Alligator mississippiensis: one gene and its partners. The protein of the gene in region 2 interacts with the protein of the main gene of each other region in a pairwise test. Links are inferred from orthologs where the notes say so. Each region holds a gene or a part of one and is shown on either strand. Other genes may lie near its edges. The genes, in order: NATD1, ADAMTSL4 and CPNE7.

Evidence for each region.
Region 1: the proteins of ADAMTSL4 (region 2) and NATD1 interact in binary tests that used the Homo sapiens proteins (3 or more experiments, as listed by UniProt). The two-hybrid records come from large-scale screens. The link is inferred for Alligator mississippiensis from reciprocal best matches to the Homo sapiens genes ADAMTSL4 and NATD1.
Region 3: the proteins of ADAMTSL4 (region 2) and CPNE7 interact in binary tests that used the Homo sapiens proteins (3 or more experiments, as listed by UniProt). The two-hybrid records come from large-scale screens. The link is inferred for Alligator mississippiensis from reciprocal best matches to the Homo sapiens genes ADAMTSL4 and CPNE7.

The regions. Positions count from the first base shown.
Region 1 is NC_081836.1:53,946,706-53,950,446, reverse strand, and holds the start of NATD1 (protein NATD1), read right to left. Parts: upstream 2,577-3,741; 5' UTR 2,533-2,576; coding exon 2,436-2,532; intron 1,831-2,435; coding exon of another isoform or gene 1,709-1,830; intron 1-1,708.
Region 2 is NC_081838.1:19,041,578-19,045,318, reverse strand, and holds the start of ADAMTSL4 (ADAMTS-like protein 4), read right to left. Parts: upstream 2,442-3,741; 5' UTR 2,307-2,441; intron 258-2,306; exon of another isoform or gene 146-257; intron 1-145. UniProt on the Homo sapiens protein: Positive regulation of apoptosis. May facilitate FBN1 microfibril biogenesis.
Region 3 is NC_081833.1:75,885,067-75,888,807, forward strand, and holds the start of CPNE7 (copine-7), read left to right. Parts: upstream 1-1,417; 5' UTR 1,418-3,741. Other genes in the region: RPL13 (large ribosomal subunit protein eL13), read left to right, coding at 262-318, 1,131-1,289. UniProt on the Homo sapiens protein: Calcium-dependent phospholipid-binding protein that may play a role in calcium-mediated intracellular processes.

The DNA of each region.
Region 1 (3,741 bases), on a different chromosome or scaffold from region 2:
GCTGGGCGTTGGTGAAGTGCCACCGTGCCAGCACACGCTCACACTGCTGGTTCGCCGTACCAGGAGTTGTATCTGGAATCACGGAGGGCCAAGTTTTCAGCACAGGAGCCGAGGCCCGACCCTCACAGGATCAGCAGCAGTCATGGGTGATGCTGCCTGCCAACCTGCTGAGCTTCCAAACACCGGTCACTAGGGTCCAAACCAACCTCTGCGGAAGCCAAGGGACATTCCCAGACTTCCTTAGGGTTATATCAGGCCTGCAGCCAACGGAACGGCCTGACACTAGCTTATTCACTTCATATTTTTGCATAGGTGGTTTCCTGCTGGGTTGAGGTTCTCTCGCCAGGCTCTTTTCCAGCTAAGGGTCACTTTGTCACCAGACTGACTGGCAGGCAGGGCGGGGTGGCTCAGAGCAGCCCGAGCTTTTGCAGGTGACAATCAACCGTCAGACTGTCAGGATGGACGCTAGCACAGAGTCCACTCCTAGCAGAATGGCTGCTTGTGGCCTGTGAAAGCTGCCCTGCCCGACCTCAGGACAGCACAGCCAAGCACCTCTGCAATATCTGACTGGCGGAGAGTATTCAGGGGTGCAATGCTGAAAAATTAACTTCCTCAAAACAACCGTCTGCTCTGAGCCTTCCCTTCACTGTCGGCACGCAGAAGTGTTAAAACGGGGAGGCCAACGTGTGCCTCTGCACACTTCAAAAGGAAACATGCTGCATTGTGCGCGCACTCACAAAAAGAGATCAAAACCGAATCCAGTCTGCTCCTCGGCTTGCTCATTTTCTCAGTCACCGGGCACCATTTAGTCTCCTTTGCTGCCTATACCCATTGCTGAGCCTGAAGACTACACTTTGTAATTAGTGGTTTGAGAGGGGGGAAGTTTCTAAAATAAAAAAAGACACAAGCTATTCTTGTTGTTTTATTGAGAATGCCTCCTACTCCACGTATAATTTCTGAACTAGCCATCCATTTTTATAACCATCTACCCTGCAATTTCTGTACAGCAAGAAGATAGGAGAGAGAAAGAGAATTAGATTTAACTATTAGAACTATCACAGATCAAGATTTTGCCAGACAACAGGAAGCGTTGTGGGGTGCCTTTATCTCATTTCTTACTGCAAAATAAATGCAAGTGGGGGAGCTACCGGAGCCCACAGCAAACGGGATCTTTGCGGCAGGGTCAGGACCTGTTATCGCTAGTGCAAACACTTACACACAAGTGGTCCTACTGATTTCAAGAGGATTAGTCGTGCACCCGCAGTCTGCTGGACCGAAGCCTGCACGCGATTAGACTGAGGTGACCCTCCAGCCAGCCAGCTCTCCGCAGAAGGGGCGGCGGAGAGGACTTCAAATGTGTTGAAAGGAACCAAGCTTTAAAAGGGCCTCTTCCTGACTGCTGGATGTTATGACTGTACGCGATCCTCAAGACGCACGCATGGATGCTCCTCTTTGCTACCGTCAGCTGTCCCATTGAAACAAGTGAAGTTACACGTGCACTCACACGCTGACGGAACCAGGGGCTAATCCTGGTCTTCCTCTCCCTCCCAAGTTAGAAATGCTTCTTAAAAAAGAAAAAAAAAATATATCTCTGCAATCTGGCCCCTTAGCAGTTCCACTTCATGCCGCTCCCACAAAGCGCCAAAGCCGGAGGTCACCCCCCAAAAACTCCCTATCAAGAATTTAAGCAGTCAAACCCGACACCTGCCTCCAGAACGTCCTTCGCGCCCCGAAACCACGGTGCGGCCCATCTCGCCTCGTGCCCCGAAACCACGGTACGGCCCATCTCTCGCATCCTGGCGCGACGCACAAGACAGGGGTTTCTTTCCGCTGCCCGTCAGAAAAAACGAAAGGGATTTAAAACAATCGCCCGCCGCCTGTCCCTGTGGGTTCAGAGTCCTAAGCTACCGGGCCACAGTTACTCAGGGCAGGTGGCGCGGAGGGGGCTCACGAACTCAGCGGGTTCACTGGGGGGGCTTTAATGTGCTAAGCCTGGCTTTCTCCGGAGGACGCAAGCAGCTGGCAGGGAGGGACAGGGTCAACCTTGGCTTGTAAAGAGATGCCGACGGAGGCGGACGGGGAGAGTCACAAGCGCAGCAGCCGCTTGGGCGAAAGCAACCGCAGCAGCAGGGAGGAGCGGGCGGATGACAACCGGGACACCCCCGGGAGTCCCCTTGTTTTGTCTTCGCTTGTCCCAAGCCACCTCCGCCAGCGAGGGGCCCCTGGGGGCAGAGTGGCGGGGCTCCTGCCGCTCGCCCGCGCCTCCCCACGGACAAGGAGGGCTGGGGGAGCTCGGGAGGTGCCCCCCCCCCGCTCCAGGCCGCTCCGCCGCCCCGGCCCAGGCTTTGTCCGGCGGGCGCTCGGCCCCCCGAGGATGGGGAGGGAGGCTGGAGCAGGGCTTCCCCGCCCGCCGCCGCGCCCGCCCCCAGCCTCACCGTTGAGCCGCACCGTGAACTGCCGGCGGCGGCGGTCGTGCTCCACGCGGATGGGGCCGGCGGGCTCGGGCGGGCCGAGCGCGGCGGCGTGGGCCATGGCCGGGCCGGGCACGGCGCTCCCGCGCCCGCCGCGCCGCAGACAATGCTGGGGAGGGACGGCCAGGAAATCAGCTGGGAGTCACGTGGCGCGCCGCCGCCAATCGCCGCGCGCCGCTTTTGTTTTGATACATTCCGGGCGGCTCTTAAAGGGACCCCCCCTCCCTCCGCTCAGCTCCGCTCCCGGCTAGTGCGGCTTGGTGTGAGACCCCCCTCCCCACTCTTGGTGGGACCCCGCCACCTGCCCCGCGTCCCTTCGGCTGCATTGCTCCTCGTTGTGTCGCCTGCCCGCACTGAGACCAGCCCAGCTCCGGCCTCCACTTACCCGGCTGCAGCCTGAGCCCATTGCCTCTCCTTGTGTCGCCTGCCCGCACTGCGACCAGCCCAACTCCACCCCCGTTGGAAGCGCCCTTCCAGGAGCTGGAGGCTGCTCTTCAATCCCAGCCCCAGACTAAATCGACCCATTTCCCTCAGTGCCTCCTCGCCCCCCGGCCCCCCAACCATTTTTGTTGCCCTCCTCTGGACTCTCTCCACATCCTTCTGTGGTGGGGGCCCAGGCATGGCCGCACCGGTGCTGAATAGAGGGGAAATCGCTGCCCTGCAGCTGCTGGAAACACTCCTCCTAATGCAATTTCGTCCTTCCGCTGCACGTACCCCAGGATACATCCCCGGGGTGGGTGCAGCTGTTCCCAAATGCAAGCGCCTTCCTCCGCTTCCACAGATGCTGCTTTCATCCCGGTGAGAAGTGGGCAGCGGTGTCACGCGGGGGTCGGTGCTCAGTCCAGTGCTTTTCAACATCCTTAAGAGCGATTTGGATGTGGGGGTGAAGAGCTCACTCGCCGTGTTTGCGGACGACACCAAGTTATGGGGGAGCGTGGTCACGCTTGAAGACAGGCTACAGATGCAGGGGGACCTGGACAGGCTGGCAAATTGGGCGGGTGGGAACCTGATGAAGTTCAACGTCCGGAAATGTAAAGCGCTGCATCTCAGGACGAGCAACCCCCAACACGCCTACAGGCTTGGCCACACCAAACTGGCTAGCACCACGCATGAAAAGGACCCGGGGGTAATAATAGACCACGGTATGAATATGAGCCGGCATCGCGATGCTGTAGCCAGTAGGACAAACAATACTCTGGCGTGCATCAATCGATGCATCTCCAGCAAACCCAAGGAGGTGATTCTTCCGCTCTACTCGGCACCGGTGAGA
Region 2 (3,741 bases):
GGATCCGGGCGGCTCTGCCCCGCGGGGCCCCGATCCCGGCCCGGGCAGGTCGCGCACACGTGGCAGGTGCCGCCGAGACACCCGCGCCCGCCGGCCGGCCCCGATCCCGCTCCCGCTCCCGCTCCCGCTCCCGCCCCGGCTCTACCTGCTGCTGCCGGCGCTGCCCGGGCCGGCCGGGCGCGGGGTCCCGTCCCGGGCTCCTGCCGCCGCCGCCGCTCCGCCTCCTGCCGCCCGCGCTGCCCCGCCGCGGTGGGCTCGTCCCGGCCCCGGCCCCGGCCCCGGCCCGGCCCGGCCCGGCCCCGCCCCGCCCCGCCCCGCCCCGCGGGCGGCTCCCACGGCCCGCACCGGCACCGCCACTGCCTCTGTGCCGAGAAGACCCCGCGCTTGGGGGACACACACACACTGACCCACAGCTTGCACACCCTATCTGACACACTCTCTATACTTTCTCTCTCCAAAGAACGCACACGCGCACACACTCACACGAACATACAGCTCTACAGGGAACACACACACAACATACCGGAGACACACACACTCTGTACAGGAGAGATGCACAGACACACACACAGTCTACAGGGAACACACACACCTGTGCACACCCGCATCAATACCAATCTACGGGGAAGACACGTGCACACACACTCTGTACAGGAAAGAAAGACACATGCACACATGAACACACAGCTTTACAGAGTACACACACACAACATACACACGGGAGATGCACACGCTGTCTCCATACAGGGGAGATGCACACACACACAGTCTACAGGGAATGCACACACCTGTGTACACACACATCAATACCAAGCTACAGGGAAGACGCATACACACACTCACGCACACACACACACACACATGCACACACAGATCGACAGGGAACACACCTGACCCCCAGCTACAGGGAGCACACACAATCTGTGGGGAAGACCCCCCAGCCTACAGGGCAGACACACAGTCCCCCCATGAATAGCCCCTCCCGGCAGGGCCCAGCTGTGCTGGCTCCGGCCTTTCCTGACCTGCCCCGGTCTGGAGGAGGCCCCGGCCCAGCCCTGTCCCTGGTTCTCCCCAGCCCCATGGAGCAGATCAGGCCCAGGGCTTGTCCCAGCTCGCGTGGTGCTGCTTGGAGGAACCAGGAGACAACCCAGGCATCCGGGCTCCCACTGGGAGCAGAGGCAACCTGCGGCTTTGCACTGGGCAGCACAGGGCCCAGCTGGGGCAGGTGAAGTGCCACCGGGGCAGCAGCAGATAGACGAGCGCCCCTTTGAATCCAGGTGCACAGAGGAGCAGTTGGAAACGATTCATAAACCCTCAGCCCAGATCCCCCCACTCGCACTGGGTCTCGCAGAGCAGCTTCTCGCCCCCAAGCCGTCAGTGCTCTTATCCCCATTTCACACCTAGGTCAACCGAAGCACGCAGCAGGGGACAGAACTGGATCGAGCTCACTTGGCAGACTGGGGGGAGAAATGAACCCAGGTATCCGGCAGCCCAGTGCTCTGCTTCTCACGGGCACAGGAGAAAGTTACCCCTGGGGTGGGGAATGGCAGCACAGCGGTGGACAGCACGGGGAGCAGAGAGCAGAGCAGTGCATTGGGCAGGAGAAGGGCATTGGAGTGCCACTCAGGGTGGGCAGGGGTGTTTGCGGCCCACCTGCCCCCCACTGCTCCAGGGCCTGGGAAACCCCCCCTCCAGGGTCTCTGGCCTCTCCAAGGAACCAGCCCCTGGCCCACGGGGTGAGCGTGGCAGGTTATTCACTTGGCAGGGGTCCTGCAGGCGCTAGCCAAGACTGCGGCTGGAGCTGCAGGCCCCATGCAGGGCAAGAGACATCTTCCAAAGAGCTCCCCATGGAACCAGGCCAAGTAACATGCTCCCAGCCTGGTGACACCCAGATCAGACCCCCTTCTTGGAGGTCCCTTGAGATGCACTGGCTGCTGGGCCCGGGATCGCAGCCCTGCCGGCCCCACGGTTCTCCCCAGGGTCATGAGCAGCTGGGGGAAGGCCAGGAGCACGATGGCTTCCCAGGTGCTCTCTGCTCTCCCCTTCCCGCCGGCCCCTGGCAGCCCAGATCGGAGCAGGAACCTGAAACCAACCATCTCCCGATGGCAGAGATGCAGCTCCCTGGGCTTGGCATGAACTGCTGGCACCAGCCCAGGCCTGGCTCTCATCCCCAGCAGGCCAGGCTCCCCCCCACGCCAGGGGGCTGGAAGACAGGGGCTCAAATACCCCTTTTTGCCCCCTGATGCCATCCAGGGACCTCATCCCGGGTCTCCGCTAGAGCAAGGAGACCCATATCTGCTACTAACCTGCTGGGTGGCCTTGGTATTCTGCTGCCTGTGCCCAGCCCCCGCAGAAGCTAATAACCGAACATCCCTTGGGACCCCCAAGATGAGACGCGTGGATGGTTGGGGTTCCCCATTACCGTCTGGCAGGACCCGGCTCCTCTCTGGGAAGCATGAGATGCACAAACTCCCAAGCAGAGAAGGTCGGGGATGCTTTCAGTTGTGTGTTGGGGGGGGAGGGGAGAATAAAAGTCCTGCGTCTGTCCAGATAAGGGGGATGTTGCTATCAAGCCAGAACATGGCATTTTGGGACCGTGCCAGGTTGACCTGTTTGAAACGCTCTGAATTTTCCTTTCAAAGAGCCTTTGCAAAATAAGCCCGACCGTCCAGCAACTCTAACGCTGCAGAGAGTTAAAAGAAGGTCGCGCCGGGGACAAAAATGTCTCTGTCTTTATCAGCGACATGTTTCAGTGACTTCAAAATTCCTCCTTTTATCCCCCACCTCCGCTGCCCACCCCTAAAACACACATACATGCACAACGGGGCCATTTTCTGCCCACCTTAGAAGAAAAATCTGCAATCCCCAATTTCCAGAAAAGCGGGAAAAATCCAGCATCTGCTTGATGAAGAGCAACCTCAGCTGAGCCTTTCCCCACCGAGGCGCTTAGAAGTTTGCTAACTCCAGATGTTCCTTTTCAGCTGTTTTTTTTTTAATTTGGAAATAACTTATTGCTCTGTGGACGCCATCCAGCTGAACGCAGCAGTGCTGGTCTCTTACTATCCAGTTACTCTGCTGTATGAGGCTGGGGTGGATCGGGGCAGGGGGTGCATTGATGCCGTGCACCCCAAATTTAAACCAAACTACCCGGCCGTAGAAGTGGCATTTCTATTTGGGGAGTCACAACTTCTTGACTCGTTGGGCTCTTCCTTCTCAGCATTTCATGACATGTATTAACGACCCTCGCTCTTTTTAAACTGTCTCGATGCTCCGCTAATCAAGCTATCTGCTCTCCTGCAGTTCTGCCGCCTGTTAGGTGCTCCTGGGAACGGAGCTCTTATTTCGCAGCCCAGCTGACTGGTTTTTACCTCTAGCTCAAAACACAAACTGAGACGTGGGGACAAAGTTTTAGTAAAGCTCTGGACATGCTCTCAAAATGTATTGTTTTTGCCTCTGTTGCTGGGTTTTTTAAACACCCGGGGTATGATAGAGCAAATTAATGACCTTTCCAATAAAGAGGCCTGTGAGGTTCTTTGGGAAAATGTGATATCTTTTACTTGAGCAGCTAAATATTTGGAAAAATTGTTCTTTGCAAGCTTTTGGGCACAAACACCCTTTGTCAGGCAGATCCATTTGTTATTGCTTCCATCTTAAACTGCAGACTATAGCCCGAGGCTCCCAGCATATTTGCAATGCCTCTGGGGTTTTTTGACCCGGAGAAAGATACGTGTTGTGTTATAT
Region 3 (3,741 bases), on a different chromosome or scaffold from region 2:
CAGGGCAAGTGTCTGTGCTTGTGTGTTTCTGGGCACTCTAGGCTGGATGTAGAGTGAGGAATGAAAGGCTTGGAGAAGAGGCAGGAGGGTCTGAACCTTCAGGGACCCTGCTCCAGAGCCAGGCAGCAGGAGCCATGCACAGGCAGGATTTCGGCTTTTGGTTTCGGTGGTGACCTGGGTGGCTTCAGGGCTGCTGCTGCAGGGGCCTTTCCTGCAGGCCTCTACGGACTTCCGCAGTCACTTCTCCCCTCTCTTCCGCAGGCAGAAGAGCTCAAGATGGCGACTCAGCTGTCCGGACCTGTTATGCCTATTAGGAGTGTAAGTGAAACTGCAAGTCCTGTCCTTTGTTCGACTTCCTTGACTCTGGGTGGTGCTGGGATGGGAGCTCTGACTGCAGAGCAGTCTGTCCTGATGGCTTTTCCCCCTTGCAAGTGCTGCAACGTAACACTGCGGTTAAGTTGTGCCGTCCCCAAACAGCACCAGCTCCTGAACCCAAAGGAACAAGAGTCTGTTAAACTTGTCCTCGTGTCTGAGAGGAGTTGGCTGGCCGAGTCCTGTGCCACCGCAGAGTGCAGGGCTCAGCTGAGCGTGTGTTAAAAGTGCTCTAAGCACAGCTTTGTCAGTGTGAAACCACCTGAAATGTGTGGCTGCTGCTACTGGCATGGCAGCTCAGCTCCCCTTCAGACAGCTCTGCCTTCCAGCTGGGGGGAGTCGTTCGGCCCTGGGTTCTGCGCTGAGGATTCAGGCTGACATTTGGAGGGCTCTGAGCCGCACCAGCAGCTGCGTGTGCCCAGCTGTGCACATTGGCAGTGAGGTCTCTGCAACCAAGGGGGCTGGCCAGTCCCACTCAGGCTGGCCAAGAGAAGCCGTGGGTTTGTGCAGCATGCACTGGAGCCACTCCTGCTCTTGAGGCATTGCCCAGCAGCTGTGTGATCTGGCCATGGGAGGGCTCTGCTAGAGGTTGTCTGTTGGCATGAGCTGGGAGCTGCATGGGACAAGGCCTGGGTGAGGTATCCCTGTCAGTCTCAGCATGTGGCCGCGTGCAAGTCAGTGCTGAGCCTTTATCGGCGCGTCTCTGGCAGTCTTTGCCCCTGTGTGTAACCCCCTGGCTCTGGCTCTGCTCCTGCCAGGTGTACAAGAAGGAGAAGGCCCGGGTTATCTCGGAGGACGAAAAGAACTTCAAGGCCTTTGCCAGCTTGCGCATGGCCCGGGCGAACGCACGCCTCTTCGGTATCCGGGCAAAGCGAGCCAAGGAGGCTGCAGAGCAGGACGTGGAGAAGAAGAAGTGAGCACCTCTCCTTCGAACTGTTAATAAAAGAGCCTAGGACCGTGACCTGGTGTGGGGTCTTCTTGGGCCACACAGAAGGGACTAGGACGACCCAGGAGGGGCAATGCTTTCACTGCCACACGGGCATCAGGGGTTGCTCCTTTCCCCCTGACTAGTCTGCTCTGAGCACGTGCACCCCACGCCACACAACCACAGGCCTCGCCCTAGTTTTGGTGCATGTGCGGCCTCTTCCTACAGGGCCAGGGAAGGGGCTCTAGCAGCCTAGAGCAGCGCCTTTCATTTACACAGCAAAAGTTCCCCGCCAGCCCGTTTCCGGTGCTAGCCCAGCTGCTTTGAGGGATCTCTGAACAGATGGCTGCTGACTGATGAGGGAGGACATCGCCTCCCCATTCTGTTCCCTTCTAGTGGCAGCCTGCTCGCTTTGCCTTGGAGACGGAGCTGAATTTCCCCACTCAGGAGCTTGGCTGGATCTAGCTTCCCTTGTAAAGGGCAGCGCGACATCCGCTGTGGCCCTTGGCGGTGGTGAGGGGCATCTGTCTAGTGCCACAGTAACCACGCCTTCCCCTCCCGCAGTCCCGGATGCTCCAGGCAGGTTTGGGGGGAAGTAGAAGGACTTGGGGGCCCACTGGGGTGCAGCAGGCTGGCTTCAAGGGGCTGGATTTCCGATGTCCTCGATTCCCCCTCTGACGAGACACTTGGGGCTGGGCCCTCAGTAAGCAAGCTGCTGGCTGTCCCATCACATTTAAAATGGAGGTGGGGTGAAGGCTTCCAGGAGCTGCCTCAGCCCCTTGTCAGCCTCCTGCACAGGAGCTGGTACTTGCTGACGGCTTCCTCCTATGCAGCAGAGAGCAGATCTCGCGGGGTCCCAGTCCCCCTGTGCATTCGGGCACTGCCTGAGCACTGACCCCCACCGGCTGGTCAGTCCTTCACCCCTTGCCCTGCAGGCTGCCGTGCTGTCGCTTGCTTCCAGGGCAGCATGGCTTGTCTGGTGTTGCTTAGCAGTCGGCTTTCAACATCCAAGGCATCGGATTTGGGAGAGGGCTGTTTCCCTTGCCTTCTGAGCATATGAGGGCTGTCAATGCTCCCTCCCATGCCCAGATCCTGCATGGTTTTGGGTAGGGAGTGTGGCTGGGCTGTCTCCACTAGTGCCGAGTGTTGCTTTGCAGTCTGAGCAAGCCTCCCTTTCAGGGCTGCGCCCCATGGGGAGGAAGATCAGGGCTGCCTGGGTCAAGAGAAGAGCTGCGCCCGCATCCCTCCGGCGAAGGCTTGGCTACTAGAAGGCGAGCATCTGTGCGGGGGCGGCGGCTGCCTGGTGATTCAGGAATGAGCCGGGAGTACTCGCTGCCGTTGCTGTGCACTCGCTTTGTTCCTGGTGGTTGTAGCACTCGTGGGTCTTGAGGGCACCCTGCTCAGCAGTTGGAGAGAGAAGCCCAAGGGGATCGAGGAGGAGGAGGGCCTGCCCTGCGCCCAGGGAGCAGACCTGCTGAAATGCAGCTGCCCCTGGGGTGGAACACGGCATGGCACCGTGCCCCTCCGCGGTGAGAGCGGGGAGCAGATGGAGCGCATGGCCCCAGAGGTGGAAAGGGGCCAAGACGCAAACCAGGAACACTTGTCAGATGCAGCTTGGGGATGAGCGGGCCCCTGGCTGGGTGTGAGGCTCCCGCTTCCCCCCTCACCACTGGCCCAGACAGGTCTTGCTCCCCAGCAGGGTCCTGAGCGCTCCAGCGTATCAAATGCTGCCCTTTTGCCCCCAAACGTGCTTCCCATGCCCCCTTGGCTCAGGTTCCCGGGCCGAGGTGCAGTTACTGACTTCTGCCACGTGATGGAGCAGGTGGCTTCAGCTCCGGTTGGTTTCCTGGGAGCTCCAGGGTGGGGGTGTTCCCCCAAGCTGCTGGGCTGGGGGCAGTTTCTATGCTCCTGTGCCAGTGGGGCAAGCACTGGGCTCCCTGGAGCCATCGGTTCACAGGGCAGCAGGTCCAGTCCAGCCCCCGCTTTGCCCCCAAAGGGGAAGTGTTGCTCCCTTGCGATTCACTGAACAGGGCCGTCTGCTCAAGGGGCCGGTGCAGATGCTCCAGCATTGCCGAGTGGCTTTCTCTGGCACCCCACCCCGACTGCTGCCTGCCAAGCAGCTGCTGGGGGACCTGGAGACTGGTGCCAGCCACGTGGCTCCTTGCCCAGCTCCCTTTGGCCGAGTCGGTGTCAGGGGCACAGGCCCGGTTCAGCCCCGGCGGGCCCTAGCCACGAGCCAAGCTGTCAGGGCACCCCAGCGGCATCCGAGCGGAGGCAGCAGTCGGCATCCGAGTCCCCTGCCCAGCGCTGCTCAGCGCCACGTGCCAGGCTGGCAGCAGAAGAGCCAGGACAGGAGACGACGCTTCCCCAGGGACCTTCCCCGGCTCTGCCAAGGTACAGACCTGCCCCCCTTGCTAGGGGTGGTGGGTGAGCCCCCCGGCCAC